Elephas maximus indicus: one gene and its partners. The protein of the gene in region 1 purifies or fractionates together with the protein of each later gene. This does not show direct contact. Links are inferred from orthologs where the notes say so. Each region holds a gene or a part of one and is shown in the gene's direction. Other genes may lie near its edges.

Region 1 (7,356 bases):
TATTTTCTTGCTTTGCATCCATCATATTTCGTATTTGGTCATATTTATGCCAGACAAATAGAACAAATTTTCTCAAAATGAATGCCTTTGATAACATACCTGTAATCGACACGGTGAGTTTCATGGAACTGCCTCTTACTGCATCCCTCAGTCTAGGCGATGACCCAATTCAATAAAAGTGATCCAACAGGGAGCCATTACTACACAGTCCTGGTAAATAACCATCTGCCTGCCAGCTTAAGGTTGGGGTAGATTTTAACATATTTATAAGACCACCCTCCAGGCAACCGCACACAAACAGTGTCCTTCAGCCAAGCTTTTGATTGATAGTTACTGGTTTGCAGCTGAGTTTGTGGGTGTACTCCTAACAAATACCTGGAATGTGGCTATCAGCCATTAAGAGGTAGCCAAGCTACAGGGTCGCTATGAGTTGGAATCGACTTGATGGCAATGGGCAAGCTGGGAGTAAAGCTGAAATTCTCATGAGAACTGTGGGAGCTAAAGGACATGCTTGCATTGAAACCATTCTACACTCTTTTTTTTAAAGTAGGTTTAAAAATTTTTTTTATTGTAATGAAATAAATATAATAAAACATTTGACGTGTCAACCATTTTTACAGTGACTTTGACTGTATTTACCATGTTGTCTACATCCTTTTGAGGGTAAGGCAAAGGAATATCCATAGACAGGGCCAAGTGGTCCACAGGAAGCGATGGAACGTGTTTCTAGTCCAAGGGACCAGTTAGTGTTGTGTTCCAGAATCCTACTCCACACAGCATGGCTCTAGAATTGTAACTGGGAAAAATCTTAAGGCAGGTTTAACCACATGCCCACGTTGGATGTTACATCTCAATTAAACACCTGGGGAACATCTAGCTTTGAACATCTAGAATATATTCGAAATAAAGTTTTTGAAATGCCACTAGTAAGTATAAAGCACTTAAAAGTTGGGGTACTTCTATTAAAAAAGACCAGTTGTACACCAATATTCATTGTGACATTATTCACAATAGTCAAAAGGTGATGTAATGGATTGAATTGTGTCCCCCCCAAAAATACATGTCAACTTGGTTAGGCCATGTGTACTTGTCCTCCATTTTGTGATTTTCCTGTGTGTTAGAAATCATAATCTCTGCCTGCAGTTAAAAGGATTACTCAGGTCACCTCCCTGATACTGAAGGGAGTTTCCCTGGGGTGTGGCCTGTACCACCTTTTATCTCTCAAGAGATGAAAGGGAGGCACGCAGAGAGTTGGGGACCTCATACCACCAAGAAAGCAGCACCAGGAGCAGAGTGTGTCCTTTGGATCCCTGTGCCTGAGAAGCTCCTTGACCAGGGGAAGCCTTCCTCCAGAGCTGACAGAGAGAGAATGCCTTCCCCTGGAGCTGAAGCCTTGAATTTAGACTTGTAACCTACTAGACTGTGAAAAAATAAACTCTTTGTTAAAGCCATCCACTTGTGTTATTTCTGTTATGGCACTGCTGGATGACTAACACAGGTGGCAACAGCCTAAACGTATATATAAAACGTGGTATATACAATGGAATATTACTCAGCCACAAAGAGAAATGAAATCCTGATACATGCTACAACGCGGGTGAACCTGGAAAACGTTATGCTGAGTGAAATAAATCAGTCACAAAAGGACAGGTAGTGTATGATCCCACTTAAATGAAATATCTAGAACAAGTAAGTATACAGAGACCAGAGTTTATTCGTGGTTACTAGAGGTAGGCTGGAAGGGTGGGAAAGGGGAACTCCTTGCTTAGGAGACATTGCCTTTCTGTTAAGGGTGATGGAAAAATCTGGAAACAGGTAGTGGTGATGATAAACATAATTAATGTCACCGAATTGTTCATGTGAAAAGTGTTGGAATGGCAAATGGGTTAAACAAAACCTGTTGCCGCCAAGTCAATTCCGACTCATAGCAACCCTATAAGAGTAGAACTGCCCCATAGAGTTTTCAAGGAGCACCTGGTGGATTCCAACTGCCAACCTCTTGGTTAGCAGACGTAGCTCTTAACCACTGTGCCACCAGGGTTTTGCTACATGTATATTTACTATATTTACCACAATTTAAAAAAAGACTAGTTATAGTACTTGGTCTGTGGGCTTTTTTTCTGATAATAATTGGATACCTAGGAACACTCCCTAGAGCTTGTTGTTTGTAGGACCATTTTATTAAGTCAGTTTGAATCTTACTCTTGTTTCCCAGGTATATGCTGCACCAGACCTAATTTTAATAGAATTTGAAACTGTAGTGACTATACATGTACTGAAAATTATTTCTCCCATTCGGCAGTAATAAAAGTAAACAGGAATCTCAAGACCACCCTCGGGTTGTTGATACTTTCCCACTGACAGACCCTTCAGGTACAAAACTTTATAAACCAAAACCAAACCCAGTGCTGTCAAGTTGATTCCAGCTCATAGGGACCCTAAGGGACAGAGTAGAACTGCTTCCAAGGAGCGGCTGGCAGATTTGAACTGTTCCCAGCCATAGCACTTAACCCCTATGCCACCAGGGTTTCCTAACAAAACTTGATAAAGCTGTTAATTCCTCTGCTATTTTCTGGAGACCTTATAGGGAAGCAATGTAGAGAGCTAGCTAGATAGACGCCTTGGCTCTGCAGTCAGATATCGTGGGTTCGAATCCCATCTCTACCACTTAGCAAATAAATGTGACCTTGGACAAGTGGCTTCATTTCTTTGAGTGTCGTTTCCTCCTTTATGAAATGAGGATAATGAGATAACTTCACACGGTTGTGCAGCGATGGAGTGGTGTGGGTGAGGGCGCTGGACATGGTACCTGACTGTGGGGATGCACAGTGAATGGCAGCTGTTATCACTGTGTCTTTATTGGCCCTCATTGCCCAGAATTCACACTGCTATCCTAATTATTTTGTGTTTGTGGCAAGACAATTAGGTACTCGAAGAGGAAAATTAATGCAACTAATGACTGCAGTAGAAATTGCGATAGAAATAATCTGTGTCACAAAACAATTTGTGCACAGATTTTTAAATGAGAGACTAATTCGTGCTGTAAACTTTCGCCTAAAGCACAACAAACAACAAACACCTCCGGAAGGAAGAAGAGGAAGAGGAGAGTTAAGCTGCTTTCATTATTTTCCAAAGTTTTTTTTTTTTTTTTTTTTATGGTTTCTGGCTTTATCATTAGGTGGGTTAATACATGTGCCTGGCACACAGTCAGCTCTTTGTAAGCGACTGCTAATATTATTTTAAACTCAGGGAGAGTCACAGCAAGCAAACAGAGAAAGCACTAACAGACTAGGGGCAGAACAAATGGAAATAAAAGGAGCAGAGAAGGCTTTCTTCAAAAAAGAGGCCCTATTTCTTCTAGAGCAATATAAATGTGTAAGCGTCACCAGCTGTTTAGAGAAATTTGCTCAGTGCCCTGAAGGCTGGTGTTTGAATTCCTTAGGCCTGTACCCGTTCCAGGCCTACTTCCACCTGACGAGCTTCTGCTCCTATGCAGTCAGCCAAGCGCCCTACTTTGAGCGGTTCTCATATTCCTGCTTGATCGTCTGCACAAACCCACTCTAGGCTTATGTTATTTTCTTGACTTTCTTCCAACAGTGTTTGAAACATCACCATCAATTTAATGTGGGAGAATTCCAAGGTTTCCGGTCCTAGGAAAATGCGCTCCCTTAACGGTCCTCGCATATATTTAGCCACCCACCTTCCAGAATTTGGTGAGGTCATCCGCCGCATTAACCAGCCCCCCAGCAGGGGGCACGCGAGACACAAGCACCACGGCGTTAAATTGCGGTGCACGTTTAAAAGGACAAACAGCAGGGTTAGGAAAATCAATTCCTTCCCGAATTAGACCCATGTGGTTACATACTTAGGGTCCTGGTGGCTCAGTGGTTAAAGAACTCGGTTGCTAACCAGAAGGTCGGCAGCTGCCGGAGAAAGATGGGGCAGTCTGCTTGGCAAAGATGACAGCCTCAGAAACCTTAAGGGGCACTTCTACTCTGTCCTATAGGGTCGCTATGAGTCGGAATCGACTCTACGGCAGTGGGTTTGGTTTTTGGGTTTGGTTACATACTTCATTATAATTTACGTTCTGTAATTATTGGCTTGCAAGGTAGCGAAGACGTCTTGTTTTCAGGACCCTCCCCCCCTTCACTCCCCTCTTGAAATAAAACTGTCAAAGATATGAGAATTCTGGGAAATATTTAATAATTTAAACTTTCATGATTAAAAAAAAAAAAAAAAAAAGGTTTCCAAGTCCTCCAAGGAAGGGGGTGGGGCGGCGGAAGGGACAGGAGAGCGAAGACAGTCCCGGGAGGCGCTTCCATCCAGATGGTGTCGGCTGCGTAGACCCGGAGCAGGAGCGCAAACGGCTCAGACGGTGCGCGGAGGGGCCAGCACGTGGTCGCCGAGGGGGCAGGGCGGCGCGCGGGCTCAGCTGGTAAAACCACCTCGGCGTGTGGCTGAACCCAGACTTCTGGAGGTCAAAAGGACTCTTTGGGTCTGTCGCCTACAAAGCAGCTGTCGAGGTAAGAGCGCGCGCGCGCACAAACACGAGATACTGATGACAACGGTTACGGAGGGGTGGGCCGACGGGCGCCTATCCACACAGCTAGTCTGGATTTAGCTGCCCCCTAACGGGCAAGCACCTGTGCGTAAACACACGCCCCGAGGCATCGGTCACATTGGCGCTGTGTTCCTGGTACCATTTGTTAAATTCGGCGTAGGTCACATTCACATCACGCGCAAAGCCTGCGCAAAAGCGCACGCAGCGTGCCCACTTGTCCTGGGGGCCCAGGGCAGCGAGGACCCATCTGTCGTGCGCGGCGGTGGCGGCTGGGACGCGCCGAGACGGTGACAGGATGTGGAGCGGGTTGCAAACGGCACCTTCTTTTCTTCTCGTTTCAGTGATGTCATTGGGCGACAGCAGCTGAGGGCTGGGAGGAGGAGGAAGAGGAGGAGGAGGCGGCGCCGGGCCGCCGCCGCTGCAGGTTCATGTGCACATAATGAAAAGGCACTTGACAGTCTGCCAAAAGGCGAGCCAGGGAGAGGGAGCGAAACTGGACCTACTGGATTTCGCAAAGCCAATCGTCGTCATCTGCATCTACATGGGGAAGGAGGAGGAGGAGGAGGAGGAGGTGGGATCGGCGGCTCCAGCCCCGGCTGCTCCAATGTGAAACCACGAGCCAAAAGGGGGCTCAGAAAAAGCAACGGAGAGCGAGCGGGCGGGCGAGGGAGGAGGGAGAGGCTCGGCGGTGCAGCATCCCCCTTGGTTCCCCTGCGGATTTCTCCTGCTCCTCCTCGGACAGCTATGAATTCTGCTGAACAGACCGTTACGTGGCTCATTACCTTGGGGGTGCTGGAGTCGCCCAAAAAAACCATTTCGGACCCGGAGGGCTTTTTGCAGTCGTCTCTGAAAGATGGGGTGGTCCTCTGCAGGCTGCTGGACCGCTTGCTCCCCGGGACCATAGAGAAAGTAAGTGCTATGGCAGCTGGCGCGCCGCCCCCGCCGCGCGGACCCCCTGGCACCGAGCGCGCCCCCGGGGCCCGGCCGCTGCGCGCCGCCTGCGGGCTGGGCGCACAAAGCTCGCCGCCCGGGGTCCCCGGCCGCCGCGGCCCGGGATGGCATAGGAGTGCCCGGCCGTGCGGACCACCTCGCGCCTTGGCACCTGGCGACCCGCGCGGCGGTCCCCGCCTTCTTCCTGTGCCCCGCGGGGAATGGAGCGCCCCGGGAGGAAGCCTACGCACTTTCCTTTGTGCGCGGACCCCCTGGAAGCCCGGTTGGCGCCGGGCAGGAGCGTGCGCTTCTCCCCGCGCACAGCGCTCCTCGCCAGGCAGCCGGAGCTCGGAGGGCGCCATTGTGTGGGGCGGGCCGGGGGCGCGGGGCGGCGGGGCGGGGGCGCGGGGTCGACGGGCCGGAGGCGGCCGGCCGGGGGCGCGGGGCCGAGGGCGCGGGGCGGCGGGGCGGCGGGGTGGCGGGGCGGGGGCGCGGGGCGGCGGGGCGGGGGCGCGGGGCGGCGGGTCGGCGGGCCGGGGGCGCGGGGCGGCGGGCCGGGGGCTCGGGGCGGGGGCGCGGGGTCGACGGGCCGGAGGCGGCCGGCCGGGGGCGCGGGGCCGAGGGCGCGGGGCGGCGGGGCGGCGGGGCGGCGGGGTGGCGGGGCGGCGGGGCGGCGGGGTGGCGGGGCGGGGGCGCGGGGCGGCGGGCCGGGGGCGCGGGGCGGCGGGCCGGGGTCGGCGGGCCGGGGGCGCGGGGCGCGGGGTCGGCGGGCCGGAGGCGGCGGGCCGGGGGCGCGGGTCGGCGGGAGAAAGAGTTCTTTTACATGGTCGGAAATAGGATTTCTGTACCGCCCTGACGGTAACTTGCTCCTCGGTGTTGTGAGGTCTGCCTAGCTCGTTTCCAGTAACCTGATGGTAAAACGGTCTTCCAGTACCACGCACAGTTTTCTCTGATGGCTTTGTTTGAACAATTCTTCTTCTTGGCATTTCATCCTTTTTCTGTTTAATTGATCGATTCCCGTGCATTTTTTAAAAGACGCATTCATCAGTAGCTGAGGGCTGGGCTGTGAAACGGTTTACTACTTTCCCAGCGAAAAAATGCCTCCTGTATTCCCAGGCAAGAGGATTGCAGAAGCTTGAGTTAAAAAAAAAAAAAAAAAAGCCCTGGCATTCTTCGAGACTTGTGTAAAATTGCAGATTTCGTTTTCAAATTCATACCTGATTCTGAACAGAATCGATAGTCCTAAAAGACCTTCCTTCCCGTTACTCTTGACTAGTGGTTTCCCCGTGGCTGCAGTGTGAACTTTGACCTGCATTTCTGTAAGTGATTAAAGCTTGTTTTCAGCTCCCAGGAGCTCACGAAGCATGGGGAGGGGACGTGAGAGCTTCGAAGGAGGTTGTATTCCCTCTATTTTAATATATTACAATTTTATCTCAAATATCTTGCCAAGATAGAATGTTAGGCTCCACAGTTATTTAAATGATGGCACATATTGGAGTGAACCATAATTGGGGAAACCAGCTTCATTTTCTAATGGGGGCACATTGGCCCTTATACACAGTGGAATGCATTTGTTAATAATGAAATGTTTTACTTGAAAAAGTGAAATATTTAATCTTACTCATAACTTTGAACGCGTTCTGGCATTACATTTTAAATGTCAGAAAATCTTTAATTTTGCATACATATTAGTTTTAGGTGTCTTTCTTATTTGGAACGTATTTATGACAACAATCTGTCCATGAAATAAAAATGTTGCTTGTAAATGAACCAGGTGTCACAATAAAATTATGATTTAAGGTGAGAATAAAGGGCAGGATTTAACTCTGGAGGCACTCAGGATGCTCTGTTGTCACCTGGATATA
Region 2 (7,763 bases), on another chromosome or scaffold:
ACAAAAATAAACTTAGAATTTACCTAAAACCAGCAGACACCATAAATGTCAATCAGATAAACTTAAAACAGTTTTGTCCAAACGTACTATTGTGAATATTTGGATACTTCTACGTCTCTCTACCAGCTAGCTCCGAAAAGAGCTACTTACACTGAAGGCTTCCTACAAAGTGCTATTGCCCTTTTGTACTGGAGAGTTTCCTTTGAACGGACAGTTGGGAAGATGGACAACTGTGTTAACACCTTATGCACTTAGAGTGAATTGCCGTTGTCATATGGTGCCTGGTTTTTTTCAGACTCTGAAATGGATCTGGAGAGTTGCACTTAATATTTTTATGTGAATGGAGAGTATGGTTAATATTTACTTATGATTCATTGATTAAAAAATATTGGTAATATGCATCGCTACAAAATAAGTAATTATACTCTTAAAACATTTTGAATTCAGTTCTGTTTAAAACTATGGAACTTGAAATAAGGGGTCGTAATTAAGCATTTTCACTTTTTTTTTTTAACTTGATGTTATATTTCTTGATTATATATGTTTTATATGCCAGAAAAATAGGTGACCGTTACTAAGGTTGTGACTTACACTGAGGTTTGATTAAGTTGCCTTTTGTTGAAGGATAATTTACAGATAGGGTTTTGTTGCAGATTGGGTTGGTAACTTTTTTTTATGTGAAATTATAATCCAAGTACTTATCTAGTTAGAAACTAAAAATAAAAGTATTCCCAAGTTACCTAAATTTTAATGTTTTTTTAAAAACCTATTTTAGAACCATAATCTTTCCCAAGCTTTCTAACTAAGCCCTTCAAAAACAAATAGAAATGAAGTTAAGCAGAGAACTCTTGAGTTGCTAGTCAGTATTACAACTAATTTATTGTTGTGGTAACAGCTTAGGGCACAATCAGCTTGTGCAATTTGTCAGTAACAAACTTTTTAAAGCTATTTGTGGGGAGAGACAGAGAAACAGAGGAGTGAATGGATACTTCAGTTTTATTCTTGTTTTAATGTTTTTCCTTTAGGACTTCAACTTAGAATTTTTCATTCTAATGTGAGTTATAGTAAAAGGAAGTAAATGTTTATAGTCATTAAAAAATTTTTTTTAAAGAACACACTTGATTCTATGTAAAAAGTAGAAAAAGTCAGAACTAATGAGAATTTAAGAATTATTGTGGGAATTGAGCCTAATTCTGTAACATTGAATGAAATGTTGGATCCAGAAGAGCCATTCAGATAATAATGCTACGTTTAGTGTAACACATTGACTGAAAGATATTTCAAAAAAGAAAGGAAATGATCAAGTTAAAAATCAGAGAAATTGTGGTCTCAGCTCAGGATGTGCGTTTTAAATGGTGTCCATTTAATTTCTCTATCCCTCTCTCTCCATAGGTAAATAAAAATGTGACACTACGGGTTCCAGTGGGCCTGACCGTACATACCTCTGTAGTGTGTTCTGTGACTCTGCTTGTTACAATCCTGTGTTCTACGTCGATCCTTGTGGCTGTTTTCAAATATGGTCATTTCTCCCTATAAGTTTTTGAAGCTGAACACTTTCCATAAACCTAAAAAAGACCTATTCATTTGTGACTAGAAGTGTTTTTCTAAAATTATGTGATTACTTTTTTAAAAATGTATTTAATAGAATTATGACTGCAATTATGTTTACTAGAGGAAACTTAATTGTTCTCAGCTGATTCCAAAATTTAGCGTTCTGTTGTGTAGATTCTTGATAATCCTCAAACATCAAGTGCCAGTAGAGGAAACTTAATTTTGTTAAATTAACATCTATTTTATGAGAATATCTTCATTTTGGACAAATGAGACAAATCATTCTCTTTTTGTGAGAAGGAACCTTCAATTTAAGATAAAAATTGAGAAAACCATTATAAATAAGAAAAAAATAATTTGGATGAATCAGAAGCTTACTTGAACTTTAATTTCCTGAGAATATTAAGGCATTTATCCAGAGTTTCAAAGAAAACTATTTAAATAGGTCCGCTAAGTAATTATTAATATCATAATTGACTTTAAGATGATTATAGCATCTCCATTCTCCTTTCACATTTTGTAGTTTTTTTTTTTTTGATGTATGAATTGTCAAAGGACTTGATGAAACTAAGTACTAAGGTTTAATATATATGTGTCAGGAAGACAACTGAGGTTGTCATTTTAGAGGGTATATTTTATTAAGTTTTACATTTATAAAAAAATGGAATCTACAAGTGATTTAAAAAAAAAACAAAGGGTCTTGATTTACTGTTATAAAAAAAAAACTGTTATAGTTGGGGGAAAAAAAAGAGTAAGTGCCACAGGTTAATTAAGAAATAAAATTTTAGGGCAAGCACATTCCAGGATAGAAGTCAGTAAACCAGGTATATTGGCATTGTTTATGTAGAGTAATGTATAATACATTTATATATGCTATGACTGCTTAACGTCCTAAAACATTCTAGTGTTTTTATGGAAATAAATCTCTTTATAATTTGACATGTACGGCTTGACTAGTCAGAGCAATTCTTTTTGAAGTTGTGTTTGACACAGTACTGAAAAAGGCAATCCAATGCCATGTCATTGTTGTTAGGTGCCATTGAGTCAGTTCTGACTCATAGCAACCCTGTGTACAACAGAACGAAACGCTGCCCTGTCCTGCACCATCCTCACAATGGTTATGCTTGAGCCCATTGTTGCAGCCACTGTGTCAAGCCATCTCCTTGAGGGCCTTCCTCGTTTTTGTTGACCCTCTAGTTTACCAACCCTGATGTCCTTCTCCAGGGATTGGTCCCTCCTGAGAACATGTCCAGAGTCCATGACAGGAAGTCTCTCCATCCTTGCTTCTAAGGAGCATTTTGGCTGTACTTCTTCCAAGACCGATTTGTTCGTTCTTCTGGCAGTCCATGGTATATTCAATATTTTTCACCTACACACTAATTCAAAGGAGTCAATTCTTCTTCGGTCTTCCTTATTTAGTGTCCAGTGCTATAAAGCAGAAATATTAAGAGATCTTTAAAATGATTAACCCAGTCTGTTTACATAGACTGAAAGAATTTTGTATATTGAAAGAAGAAAGTGTTCCCTCTTTTACAAGCATTTCTTCTTCTATGGGATTAATAAGGTGGCATTGAAATGGAATTATATGTAAGTGAAATTCAGTAACATCAACAGACAACATTTTGGAATATGGTTAAACAGATGAGGGAACATGGTACTGTTTAACCTCTTTTAATAGTGTGTATATATAACTTTTTTCTTTTGCACATCAAACCAAATTTTACTGATATTTAAACAAGCTTTCAAGTTAATATTTGGGATTTTATCTTGGAACATAGTTCAGTCATTTACTCATTTATACAGGTATTCAGAAGTGTAATAAAAAATACGAGTGTGAATGAAGAAAACTTTGATCTGACTCTTCTTGCCTGAAAAATGGTTACAGATGTCTTTGCTTTTGATACAGTAAAACATTTCTGGTTTGACCTCTTTATTCATGATTATATTATCTTCTTTGGATACTTAAAAAACGAATAAGCACTTTATTTTTAAATCAGTTTTGCAACCTTAGTTATGCCTTGGAAAGGATGTTCTATTTTACCCAGCATTTTTGTGTGTTTTATGATGGGAAGAGTTTTTAGGTTATCTAATAGTCTGCTCTATCATTCCTTGATTCTTTTTTCTCCTGTATCCTCCATGTCAATTGAGAATTTTTGCTTTACTAAGATAAGCACAATCTCGGTACCTCTCTCCATTTCCACTGCTATCTGCCTAGTGCAAGTCGTAATTATTGCCTCCCTAGTTCATTTCCCTTCTATTCTTGAATCTCTGTACTCCATTTAACAGTCTAGTGATCTTGAAGTGTAAACAAGATAACTTCACTTCTCTGCTCAAACCCTTTAATTAGCTTCTTAGAATAGTCTGTGCTCCTTACTGTGGCATTTAAGGTCCTTCGTGACCTGAATCTCATCTACTCTAGTGTTTTCTCATACTACTGTATCCTTCTTGCACTAAGCTCCAGCTACACAGACCTTCTTAACCTAAGGCTGCAAGCCTTTTTCTTCTCCCCTCTGGCTGCAGTGCCTTCCCTTGGGTCCTTCTCACAGCTGTCTCTTTCTCATCTTTCCGTTCTCAGCTTAAATGTCATTTCTTTAAAGAGGCCTTCTCTGGCCACCCTATCCAAAACAATCTCCCCTAAATTTTTTCTCATACCAGATACCACTCTTTCAATTATTGTGTTTTCATATTTGTGAGCTCAGAAAGGCAAGGGCTTTGTTTATCTTGTTCAGCCTTGTATTCATGGTGCTTAACAGTGTCTAGTACAGGTTAGACATTCAAATATTTGTAGACTCAGTGAATACATTGGTGAACTCCTCTGTGGATAAAACACAGGAATTTGTCTCAACTTGCAAACAGGTGAGATGTAATTTAGCAGCAAAATATGCTAGAGGTTTGTAGGTAAAGGAGCAAAATGAACAATGAATTCCCAGAAGCAAATGTTCTGGAGCAGATTCATATAAGAGCAATCATCTGTCAACATCTTTGGAGCCTATACTGAATTAAATGAAGCCAGACGGACGTCCTTCTTAATACAAAGAATGGAAAAAAAAAAAAAAAAATGCCCACTATTGAACTACAATTCCCAGCAGCCCTCGCGCCAGCCCGCCTGTTAGGAGGCGGTGCTCGTCTCCGCCCCGGGGCGCGCCAGGCCAGGGGGCGGGGGCGAGGGGCGGGTGGGGCGGTGCTCTGGGCCCGCCTCTGCCCGCTCCCCGCCGTCGCCCTCCCCCAGGGTTGTGGCCACGCGCAGCGGCGGCGGTTGTTCCGCTTCCCCTCCGGCCCCGGCCGTCGCCATTGCCGAAGGCTCCCTGCCCTCCCTTCCCCAGCGCCCGCGGGGCTCGGGCTGCCGCTCGGCCTAGCGGTAGCGGCGGCTGCGCTCCAGCCCGGCTCTCCTTCCCGCCCCGCTTCCCCTTCCCTCCCCTCCCCACGCCGCACGCTTCCCGGGGCGGCTCCGGAGCCCGCCGGGAGCTCGGACGGAGGCGCCTGGCCGGGGCGGGACCCTTCCTCGCCTGGGGTGAGTGTGGCGGCAGGCCGGCCCGCCGGCCCGGGGGGCGGGCAGCCGCTCTCCTTCCTCCCCCTCGCTCCGCGGCCTAGCGGGTGGGAGCGGCCCTGGGACAGCCGACCTGCGGCGCGCGGGGCCGGGGAGCCGCCACCTGCGTGCCTGGGACCGCGGCTCCCGGGGCGGTGGCTCATTGTCTGCTCCCTGGGGCTGTCTGCTCCGCCGGCTTCGCCCGCGGTGGGAAGCCCGCCGGGCTGCGCTGGCCTCGGTCTCCCCGGACCCGGCCCTGCCCGGAGCGGCGTCGCGCCGCGGGCTCTGCCCTCTCTCGGTCTAACCTTCCGTCCGTTCCAGCCGCCTCCCTTTCTCGGCTGGCTAATGCTGGACCGGACCTCTCGGCTGTTAGTCCTCGATTTCCCCTCTCTTCCTGCTTCTCAGCCCCTCCGTGCTCGCTGTCTGTCCGCCCAGCTTCGTTGCTTAGGATACTCTCTCGAGACCCTAACTTTTTTCTCACCTCCAATCTGTAACCTCTTCCATATCCCGCAAAAGTAGAAACCTATAGTTTCCCGGGGAGTTGAGGGCTTCCCCTCAAGAACAGAACTCTTGGATCTTTTCATGTTTCTTGTTTGATCTTCAGCCAGGAAGTGAATATTTGCGTCTTTAGGTAACTTGGGTTAAGGTAACTTGACTTTTTCACCATGTTTGGCAAAACGTTGCCCCAGATTCCTCGGTGGCCTCGACCTTTTGGCTAATTTAAAGATCCTCGAAAAACTGAAGTGTAAAAAGTTATTGCGGTTGTCGGTCGTGTGTGTTCGTTTTGATGGGGCTACTCCCGGGGCCGTGTGAGCGTGATTTGTTTCCTCCTTGATAAACAGTGCCAGCTCCCATTGATATCATTGTAGCAATTCAACTTTCCAGTGGATCGCTTTTGTTTTGTTTTGTTCTGTTTTCTTCTTTAACCTCTGTAAAAAGACAGTCAAAATGGTTAGGCCTAAAATTAGACAGCGACGAGCTGTGTTTTGGATCAAGGTTGTGGACGTCACGTTTTTTTCCCCTGCTGTGTTTGACTCTTCCGCTCCTGTTAAGTAGGCAGGATATTGAAATGTACAAGAATTTGCTCCGGGGATTGTCCGGAGAATAACCTTAAATAAAGTCAGATTGGGATGAACACAGTGCACAGTAATTTTTAAAGCAGGTTGAAACTTGTCAGTTTTGCCAGAAGCTCTGTGGCACTTGTAACACACACAAGCTCGTTCGTATCTCATTACAGGGTCGCGATGAGTCGGAAGAGATTGACTGGAAGGCAAGGGGTATATACTTGTATATATATATGTTTATATATATCTATATATGTGTGTAATTTAACGGAAAGCCTTGTTCATGTTCTATAGAGGGTATTGATTTAAAGCAACTCTTTCATCCTTGGCTTTAAAATCTTTCCCATCTATTAATTAGCCAATAACACTGATTTACATTATGAAAACTGAACTTCAAAATGGTTTTGACCTGTGATATATATATAGTCTGAAACTCTTTTCCAGATTTGGCTGAAAGGGGTTGACCTAAAGTCAGTGTATTTTCTGTTTTCCCTGAAGAGTCCATTGTTATTTTTCTTTCCAGCAGAGTCTGAAAAAATGGCTTAGTACTGAATTTCCATACTGTCATCATTTGGTGGTATCATGAGTCCTTAACTTAGTGAGAGGCCCTGTTGGAATAAGGGGTTAGGGTGTAGAAATGTTGGAGTGTGAAACGTGTGGCCTGTTGATGTCTTCTCTGGCAGTTCTTTCTATAAGCAGATATTATTTATTAAGGTGTTCCACTTCCACTAGGCCTTGATTCCTGGTTTAACATTATGCAGAGAGTTGTTCTTTAGGACTTTGTGATATTTAATACGAACCTTGCAAACCCAAATTCATAAAGTGATAGTAAATGAGTGAATAGTGATTCTATGGCTCTCTGATCTTATGATAGGCAGGTTTCCAGGTAGGTGTGGTCGACAGTGTTTTATATTTCCTTCCAATTATACTTTTTTAAAAAGAGAACTTGTTCAGGTAGCTAAGGGTAAAATTTCAATGAAACATTTTAAAAAAGGAGAGCTTGTTCAAGAAGCTGTAGATAAAATAAGTAGATACTATGAAATTCTTCCTATCTTTAATCTAGGACTCCCTGGGTGGTGCAAATGATTCATATACTCGGCTACTAATCAAAAGGTTGGAAGTTCAAGTCCACCCAGAGGTGCCTCAGAAGAAGGGCCTGGTGATCTAATTCTAAAAAACCGACCACTGAAAACCCTGCGGAGCACAGTTCTGCTCTGACACACACTGGGGCACCATGAGTTGGAATCCACTTGACAGCAACTGTTTTTCATCTTTAATCAGTTGATACTGATTATTCTAATAATACTCTTAAGTTCAAATATAATGTTTCTTTCCACATTCTTCATTTATAATTTTAGATTAAAACTTGAAACTGTGCCCTGTTCAAAGCTGTAAGACTTCAGGGTTCTGATCAATTTGTTCTCAAAAGCCCGAACGTTAGCCCTTAGTTAGAGGGCTGATTCCAAGTTAAGCAGAGGGAAGGTGTTAAGTTACTTAAAAATAGCACATCTAAGTCCTTCCTTTTTTATCCCTCTCCTACCTTGACAGAAGCTGAAAGGGAAGGAAAATATAGTCTCTCCCTCCCATCCCTGCACCATGATAATAGTTGTTTTTTTTCTGTG
Region 3 (7,534 bases), on another chromosome or scaffold:
GCCTCCACTAGATGCCAGTAGCACCCCACTCCCCACTCCTAACAACCAAAAATGCCTTCAAACATTGCAAAATGCTCTCTGGGGGCAAAATCACCTCCAGTTGAGAGCCCCTGAGTTGAGAATCAGTTAAGAAGAGATGGCAATAAATAAAAGACAAGGAATCAAAGAACTTTAGAACAAGGAAGGCTAGTGACACTCCTGTGCTCCAGTGACTCTCAAACTTTGGTATGTATCAGCCTCCCTTGGGAGCTGGTTAAAATGCTGAAACCTGGACCTCACCCCAGACCTATCAATGGAGTTGAGTACTGGGTTTGCTCACACCAGTACCAACACCCTCATTCTGCAGATAAGCTGATGTGGGCCAGAGAAGGAAATGCTTTGCCCAAGGTCACACAGAGCAAGTTAGAACCCGAACTCCAAACCTTAACAAAGACCTTCCTTACAGCAAGGCAACAAGGGTGCATGAGGTGAGGTGAGGGGTGTGTGTGTTGTCTTTCAGAGAGGACAGTAGAGTCTAAAGTGTAAGTCTTGGAGAGGGGCAGTAGCGCCTAATGGTAAAGACGGCGCTCTCTGGGGCCAGCCAGCCTGAGTTAAAATCTCGACTTGGCAAATTTATTAGTTGGGCGACCTTGCACAAGGCCCATAACCTCTGAGAGCCTCAGTTTCCTTCTCTGTCAAATGGAATAATAATACCCACCTCCTAGGGATGTTGGAAAGGTTAGAAGAAATAATGTATATAAAGCCCTTGACACAGAGCTTGGCACCAGTAAGCACTCAATACACGTCCTGTTGTTACTATTATTGCCGTCCCACGATTGCAGAGTTGAAGGGGTCCAAGGGACCCCGAGGGCAGGGGCTTGGAAATGGGCTCAGGGAGGTTAGCGAGCCTCGACTCCCCCTAACCAGGGGCGGACTCCCGCCCCGCCCCGCCCCGCCCCGCCCCTCACCTGGTCCCGCAGCTCCTTCTCCAGCTGCCGGTAGTCGTTCTTCCAGACCAGGAGATGCAGGGGGAAGTGGCCGCTGGCGTCGCGGGCCGAGGACATGGCGAGGAGGCCGCAGCCGGGCCCTCGCCACCCGCTCGCCAGAAGCCTCAGCCCCGGCGGGGTCTCCGGCGCCCGCCAGCGGCCGTCGAGCGAGAGGACAAGCCGAGCGAGCAGGCGAGGGACACGGCCGGGTGGCCTAGCGGGCCGACTGCGTGGTGCGCGGGAGGTCGGGGGTCGCGGGCCGGGTCGGGGACCGGGTCGGCCGAGCCCACCCCGCGCCCCGCGACGCTCCCGCCCGCGCTGACAGCTCCCGAACCGACTTCTGCGGACCGAACTGTCCCAAACAGGGAAGTGCGGGGAGCGAACCACCGCACGCGGGGGCGGGGAAGGGCGAGGCAAAGCGGTCGATCCGGAGTTCGCCCAACTTCACCAATCTCCAATTCCACACCAGGATCATAGTGTGATATCTAAAACAGTGTTAAGAGTACCTCTTTCGTTTCAGAGTATTGACGTGGAAAACTTGGTCTACCCATCACCAACCTCTTTCCCCCTGCCTTATGTATCGCAGATGGTTCGGTCCACAACCGGGCCTCTTCCATTGGCCCTGCGGTCAGGGGGCGACAACAGGCCTGGGCTAAACCATTCCGGCTACCGACTTCCTTGCAGCCTTTTTGGACCAGGGCAGATGCTTCCATGATTGGTCAGAATCCATTTTGGAAGTGGGCAAAAGCAAACAATTTTAGAGGAGGAATTATAAACCCTGGAGGAGTGGCGTTAAATATTTGCATAATAAGGAGATAGTTATATCACAGAGTTTTCTCAACCTCCGCACATTTTGGACCGGATAACTTGTTGTGGGGGCTGTCGGGTGCTTTGTAGGAGGTTGAACAGCATCCTTGGCCTCTACGCACTGAATGCCAGTCAAAAAAAAAAAAAAAACCAAACCCACTGTCGTCCAGTCAATTCCGACTCATATCGACCCTCCAAAAAATGTCTCCAGATAAAGTCAGATGTCCCCTGGGGGACAAAAATGGTCTCCAGTTGAGAGCCACTGTTCTATCTGAACTCTGAACTGGGTTATGATTCAAAGCTACCTATGATAATGGTTTATCCCACATGTGTCATTTATTTTTGAAGCTAGCCATTTGGATTTTGGATTATGACTGAAAAGACTGATATATAATACCCAGACTTGACCACAGTCTGCAAATATGAAGTTCATCCTTTGAGTTTCAACTTCAGATACTGTACCTCTTTGCCTCAATGAAGAATCAAGTCAGTTTATAGCCACCATTGTGCGCTTCCTGCTGCCACTTCTGCTCAGCTGTCTACAACTCGACCACATAGCTGGGCAAAGTTATTCAATTCATCCTGAAAGCATCTCCTGGGCCTTCTCTGCTTGTGTACAGCCAGCTTCTCAGATGCCTGCAACAACAGCTGTTCAAGAATCCTAGCCTAATCCATTCTCCACACGTGTTGAGCCCAGATTTGTGAGTTGGGGAACCAAAACAGCACGCAGGAGCATCAGGTTAGTACTCATAGACTGTAAGTGCTGCGTGCGTGGGAACTACGTGGCTATTCCCACACCACACATTTATCAAGCCGGAGAGATGGACCAAGGACCAGTGCTTCTAAGGCCTCTTCATTCTTTCAGAACCCTTGTGCAACTTAATCTTTCTCTCTATTGCCCCATGCTTCCTGAACATCCCTCCTGTCACATTAGTCTGAAAACTTCACATCTGTCTCGTTTACGGGAGTACCTAAAGCCAAAACAGTTCCTGACCCATAATACCAAAACCAAACCCGTTGCCATCCAGTTGATTTCAACTCATAGTGACCCTATAGGATGGAGTAGAACTGCCCCATACATAGGGTTTCCAAAGAGCACCTGGTAGATTCGAACTACTGACCTTTTGGTTAGCAGTGGTAACTCTCAACCACTATGCCACCAGGGTTTCCTGACCCATAATAACCAAAACCAAACCCAGTGCCATCGAGTCGATTCCGACTCATAGCGACCCTTTAGGACAGGGTAGAACTGCCCCATAGAGTTTCCAAGGAGCACCTGGCAGATTCGAACTGGCGACCCTTTGGTTAGCAGCCGTAGCACTTAACCACTACGCCACCAGGGTTTCCCCCTAACCCATAATTGGCATCCAATATTTGCTAAATGGAGATTATAATTCTGTTTACATGTAACACATACAATAAATATTCATTAGTGGGGAGGTGGCCTTCGGCATTAGGATCACATTTGTTCTTCACACTGATTAACCTCACTGTGTTTATCTCACACTGTTCTATAAATTGGAAATCCTGGTGGCGTAGTGGTTGAGAGCTACGGCTGCTTAATCATAAAGGCCAGCAGTCTGAATCCACCAAGTGCCCCTTGGAAACCCTATGGGGCAGTTCTACTCTGTCTACAGCGTCGCTATGCGTCGAAATAGGCTTGAGGGCAGCGGGTTTCGTTTTTGGTTAGCCTTTAAATTACTCTGGGTTATATATTCTTACTCTCAAATTTCAAGTATAGGAAGAAAAGTCGTGATTTGAAAATAATAGTGATACCAATAATAACAGTAAATCAGAGTAGAGCTGCCCCATAGGGTTTCCAAGGCTGTAAATCTTTAAGGAAGCAGGCTGTCCTGTCTCCCGGTGAGCAGCTGATGGTTTCCGACCGCGGACCTTTTTGGTCAGCAGCTTGGCGCTTTAACCACTGCCCACCAGAGCTCCTGGGAAGCTCCATTGGATAGTGCACGGCACACAGCAGACACTCAGTATTTGTTGAATGAATGAATGAACTAACTTGGCCAAAGTTGCACTAAGTGACTTGACCACTGATTGCCTCAGGAAAGTTGTGGCTGCAGAGCTCTCTATGGTCACTAGGTTTTACAGCTTCCCCTGGAATTAATCAGTACTGGGAGGAGGAGTATCTCGTGTAGGAAAAAAAAAAAACAACTCATTCATTGCCCTCGTGTGGATCCAGACTCATAGCGACCCTGTAGCATCTCAGAGACCACTAAAATACCCACGGCCGTGGAGTCGATTTAGACTCACATTGACCCCATACGGTTTCTAAAGCTATAAATCTTCTAGGGAAGCGGACTGCAGACTGCCACATTTTTCTCGCGAAGCCGCTGGTGGTTTCCAACACCCGACCTTTCGGTTAGCAGTTTTATCGCTTTAGCCACTGCGCCCCCAAGGCTCTTTCCGCAACCCAGAGGCGGGGGAAAAAAAAAAAACAAACCCGTTGCCATAGAGTCGATTTCCACTCATAGCGACCCTATAGAGCAGAGTAGGACTGCCCCATAGAGATTCCACGGAACGCCTGGTGGAGTTGAACTGCCAGCCTTTTGGGTAGCAGCCGTAGCTCCCAACCACTACACCACCAGGGTTCCCGCGACTCAAATAGAAGCACCCAAATTCAAGATTTAAAAGCAGGGCAGAGGCTGGGGAAACAGACACCTGCCCTCATTCAAGATGGCGACAAAACAGTGTGCCCTTTCCGGTCACGTGACCTGTCCGTCGGCGAAGGCCACCTCCCCGCGCGTGCGTGTTGCGCCGGGCTCCGAGGCGCTGAGGGGAGAGGCGCTGCCGCCAGCGCTGCCGCGGGGACCCGTTAGAGCGGAAGCACCGCCGCCGCCTTCGCTGTCCGGGGGCCCCTAGTTCCCCGCGGGTGGGAGGCGAGAGCCATGTCGAAGCGGCTCCGGAGCAGCGAGGTGTGCGCTGACTGCAGCGGGCCGGGTGAGTCTCACCGCTGGGGCCCGCTCTCTTCGGCTCTCCTGGCCCGGACCCCTGCCCCGAGGCAGCCCACTGAGGTCGGGCGAGTCCCGACGGCCGAGCTGCGCGCCCCGCGCCCCGCGCCCCGCGGCTGGGGTCGCGGCGAGGGAGAGCCCGAGGCGGCAGCCTTGGGGCGGGGCCCGTCCCGGGCCTGTCAGAGCCGGGCGGGGAGGGGGCCGCCGCCCTCCGGTCTTTCCTTCTCCCCCTTCTCCTCCGTCCCAGCCGGCCGGGGAGGCGGCGAGGTCCAGGGCTGCTCCCCCAACAGGAAGGGGCTTGGGCAATCTACAGGAAGACCAATTACAGAAGTAGAATGCGAGCATCCTCCGGGCTGCGGCCCCCAGAGGCTGCAGGTGTCACCCCCACACACACCAGCCATCCGGACCCCCGCCCCGCAGAGGGCCTTGCCCGAGATGGGCGACACTCGCGGTTTCCCTCACCGAGACCCTCCGGAGGGCAGATTGCTTCCAGGCTTCTGGCATCTCGTCTCCCACTCCACGGGGAAGAACCTGCAGGACGTCGCGGTCTTGCAGAAACAACCAGCACTTAGAAGGCAGAGCATGTCTCAAGTTTTTAGATCTGAATCGCCTGGGTTCAGACTAGGTCTGGGTGACCTTGGGTTTGTGACTTCATGTGACCAAGCCTTGATTTCCTCATTTTTCCAATGGATATAGTCGGGAGTATTTGGCTCGGTGATTAGATTTAATGAGCCTTCTCATCATCTCAAGTTTTTTTTTTTTTTCCTTCTTTTTTGTATTGTGTTTAGTACAGATAACTCTTGACGTCCTTTAAAGTTAGATTTGCATTTCTAAATCATGCATGAATTACAACTTACCAAAAACTAACAGGCGCAAAATCACGGGCAGTATTCACATTTGAGCATTCAGCAATATGGGCATAAATCATTTCTGCCATGTGCAAGTTTCAGGTACAGAGTTCAGCTCCATCTTAGCATTTGGAGCTGAGCTGACAGGTCTCTGTGGCTAGATTGTGTTTTGTTTTCAGTGCTTCGGTTTATCTGCTTTGAGTTTGAAGTAACTCAAAAGTAAGATGGCTTCCTTGGCACAATATCGTCCAGTAAACAACCTTAATGAAATCATTGAATGCCAGTGTTGTGGCAACTGTTCTGAACTTCATCTTGTCATTTGGAGGTTGAGGCTGAGTCCTGTGATAACTTGCAGTCAACTGGACGGCAACTAACAAGAACAACATGATATCTCAAACCTGAAGTGGTTTTTCTCATAGTCTGTATAGAGCCCTGGTGGCGTAGTGGTTGAGTGCTACGGCTGCTAACCAAAGGGTCAGCAGTTCGAATCCCCCAGGCGCTCCTTGGAAACTCTGTGGGGCAGTTCTACTCTGTCCTATAGGGTTGCTATGAGTGGGAATCTACTTGACTGCACTGGGTTTGATTTTTGGTTTATAGAGCCGTCAGGGTTGCCAGTTTCCTTTGAAAATAGGGAAAGGGGTGGAGGAGTTTAAAAAAGAGGTGTTTTATAAACCAGCCAGGGTGGTTATACGAAATTAATCCTAGTCTCTAAAAATGTTTCCACTTCCTTCTTTTTCTTGCCTGTTTTCAGTTGAACTTTCTGCGTCATGTTTGATTCACATGTGTCTAGCTTCAAACTTCCTCTTAGAATGAGTATTCTTTACTTCTCAGTGGATGGCTTAGGGCAAAGGAAAGTTACTTCTTCGTTGTCACCCTAAATACTACCTTGCATTTCTGCATCATTTTATGCATTTCAGAACATTTTCTCTTTCATCATATCATTTTAGTTGTCTTATGTACCTATCTACAGAGACTTGAGTCACTTCCTTCCTGTTTTGAGTATAATTAGGCTACCTTGAAATGTTCCGTGAACTTGTGCAGCTAGGAATTTGTTCTGCCTTTTCTGCAAAACCCTAGTGAAAGGGTTACCTTTAGGGTTAGAGACTCCTTTGTGAATCTGATGAATGCTAAGGCCCTCTCCCCAAAAAATGCACATGTATGTACTTTCACACACAATTTCATGCGCATTTTCTCAGTGGGACCACAGACACTCCTGAAGCTCATTTGTGGTGTCCGTGGAGCCCAGGTTAAGAAACCCCGACACAAAACATCCACATAAACAGGAAGGGTTTTACCCAACCTTATTTGTACAAACTCGGTTTGATTTTACTCGGCTGTAACATTCTAGTTACTCTATCCATGGAATTCTGATATGTGATGTTAAAATGGTTAATTGAGAACCTTGCCTAATTGTTAAATCCTTGCTGTCTTAGTCCTGTTCCATTTCCCCTGAAAGAATACTGTGAATTCTCTGGATGCTAGGTGAAAATCAAAGCTATGCTTCAAAAAAAAAAAAAAAAAATGCTTCAAGGCAGTCTTTTTTTTCCCTTCGTGCAGAAAAAAACCCGTCGCTGTGTAGCATTTTAGGGATCCTTTATCTTGATGTTTACAGTGTTTGCTTTTTAGAATGGTATAGTAGTACTGAGACAGTTATACTTCATTGAATTATTTTGTTTCATGGCAAATATTTAACCATGATTATTTCTTCTTAGTTTGCTTGTTTAATGAGCGCAGTTTATTTTAACTAAATCACACTGAGTTCGATTACCTGAAAAATCCGCTGAAATTTTCACTATGATAATATAGTATTTACTTGAAACATTTGATGTTTTAAGTTTTTCCAATCAAAAAATTTTTTTTCAGGATCACAAATTTCAGCGGGCTGTTGAAATATCTGAATGGTGCTTAGAAAATTATTTATAAAAGACGTAACAGTTAACATTACTGAGTA

What was found. The genes of interacting proteins can lie anywhere in the genome.
Region 2: the proteins of ARHGEF7 (region 1) and PAK2 purify together in Homo sapiens (co-immunoprecipitation; 5 studies listed by BioGRID and IntAct, with this or other methods). This does not show direct contact. The link is inferred for Elephas maximus indicus from reciprocal best matches to the Homo sapiens genes ARHGEF7 and PAK2.
Region 3: the proteins of ARHGEF7 (region 1) and GIT2 purify together in Homo sapiens (affinity purification with mass spectrometry; 6 studies listed by BioGRID and IntAct, counting the BioPlex papers as one, with this or other methods). This does not show direct contact. The link is inferred for Elephas maximus indicus from reciprocal best matches to the Homo sapiens genes ARHGEF7 and GIT2.

Annotation. Positions count from the first base shown.
Region 1 is NC_064841.1:77,019,919-77,027,274, forward strand, and holds the start of ARHGEF7 (rho guanine nucleotide exchange factor 7), read left to right. Parts: upstream 1-4,352; 5' UTR 4,353-4,523; intron 4,524-4,892; exon of another isoform or gene 4,893-4,902; 5' UTR 4,903-5,305; coding exon 5,306-5,470; intron 5,471-7,356. UniProt on the Homo sapiens protein: Acts as a RAC1 guanine nucleotide exchange factor (GEF) and can induce membrane ruffling. Functions in cell migration, attachment and cell spreading. Promotes targeting of RAC1 to focal adhesions. May function as a positive regulator of apoptosis.
Region 2 is NC_064819.1:18,271,714-18,279,476, forward strand, and holds the start of PAK2 (serine/threonine-protein kinase PAK 2), read left to right. Parts: upstream 1-4,755; 5' UTR 4,756-5,062; intron 5,063-7,763. UniProt on the Homo sapiens protein: Serine/threonine protein kinase that plays a role in a variety of different signaling pathways including cytoskeleton regulation, cell motility, cell cycle progression, apoptosis or proliferation.
Region 3 is NC_064840.1:20,517,503-20,525,036, reverse strand, and holds the start of GIT2 (ARF GTPase-activating protein GIT2), read left to right. Parts: upstream 1-4,526; 5' UTR 4,527-4,672; coding exon 4,673-4,724; intron 4,725-7,534. Other genes in the region: ANKRD13A (ankyrin repeat domain-containing protein 13A), read right to left, coding at 948-1,043. UniProt on the Homo sapiens protein: GTPase-activating protein for ADP ribosylation factor family members, including ARF1.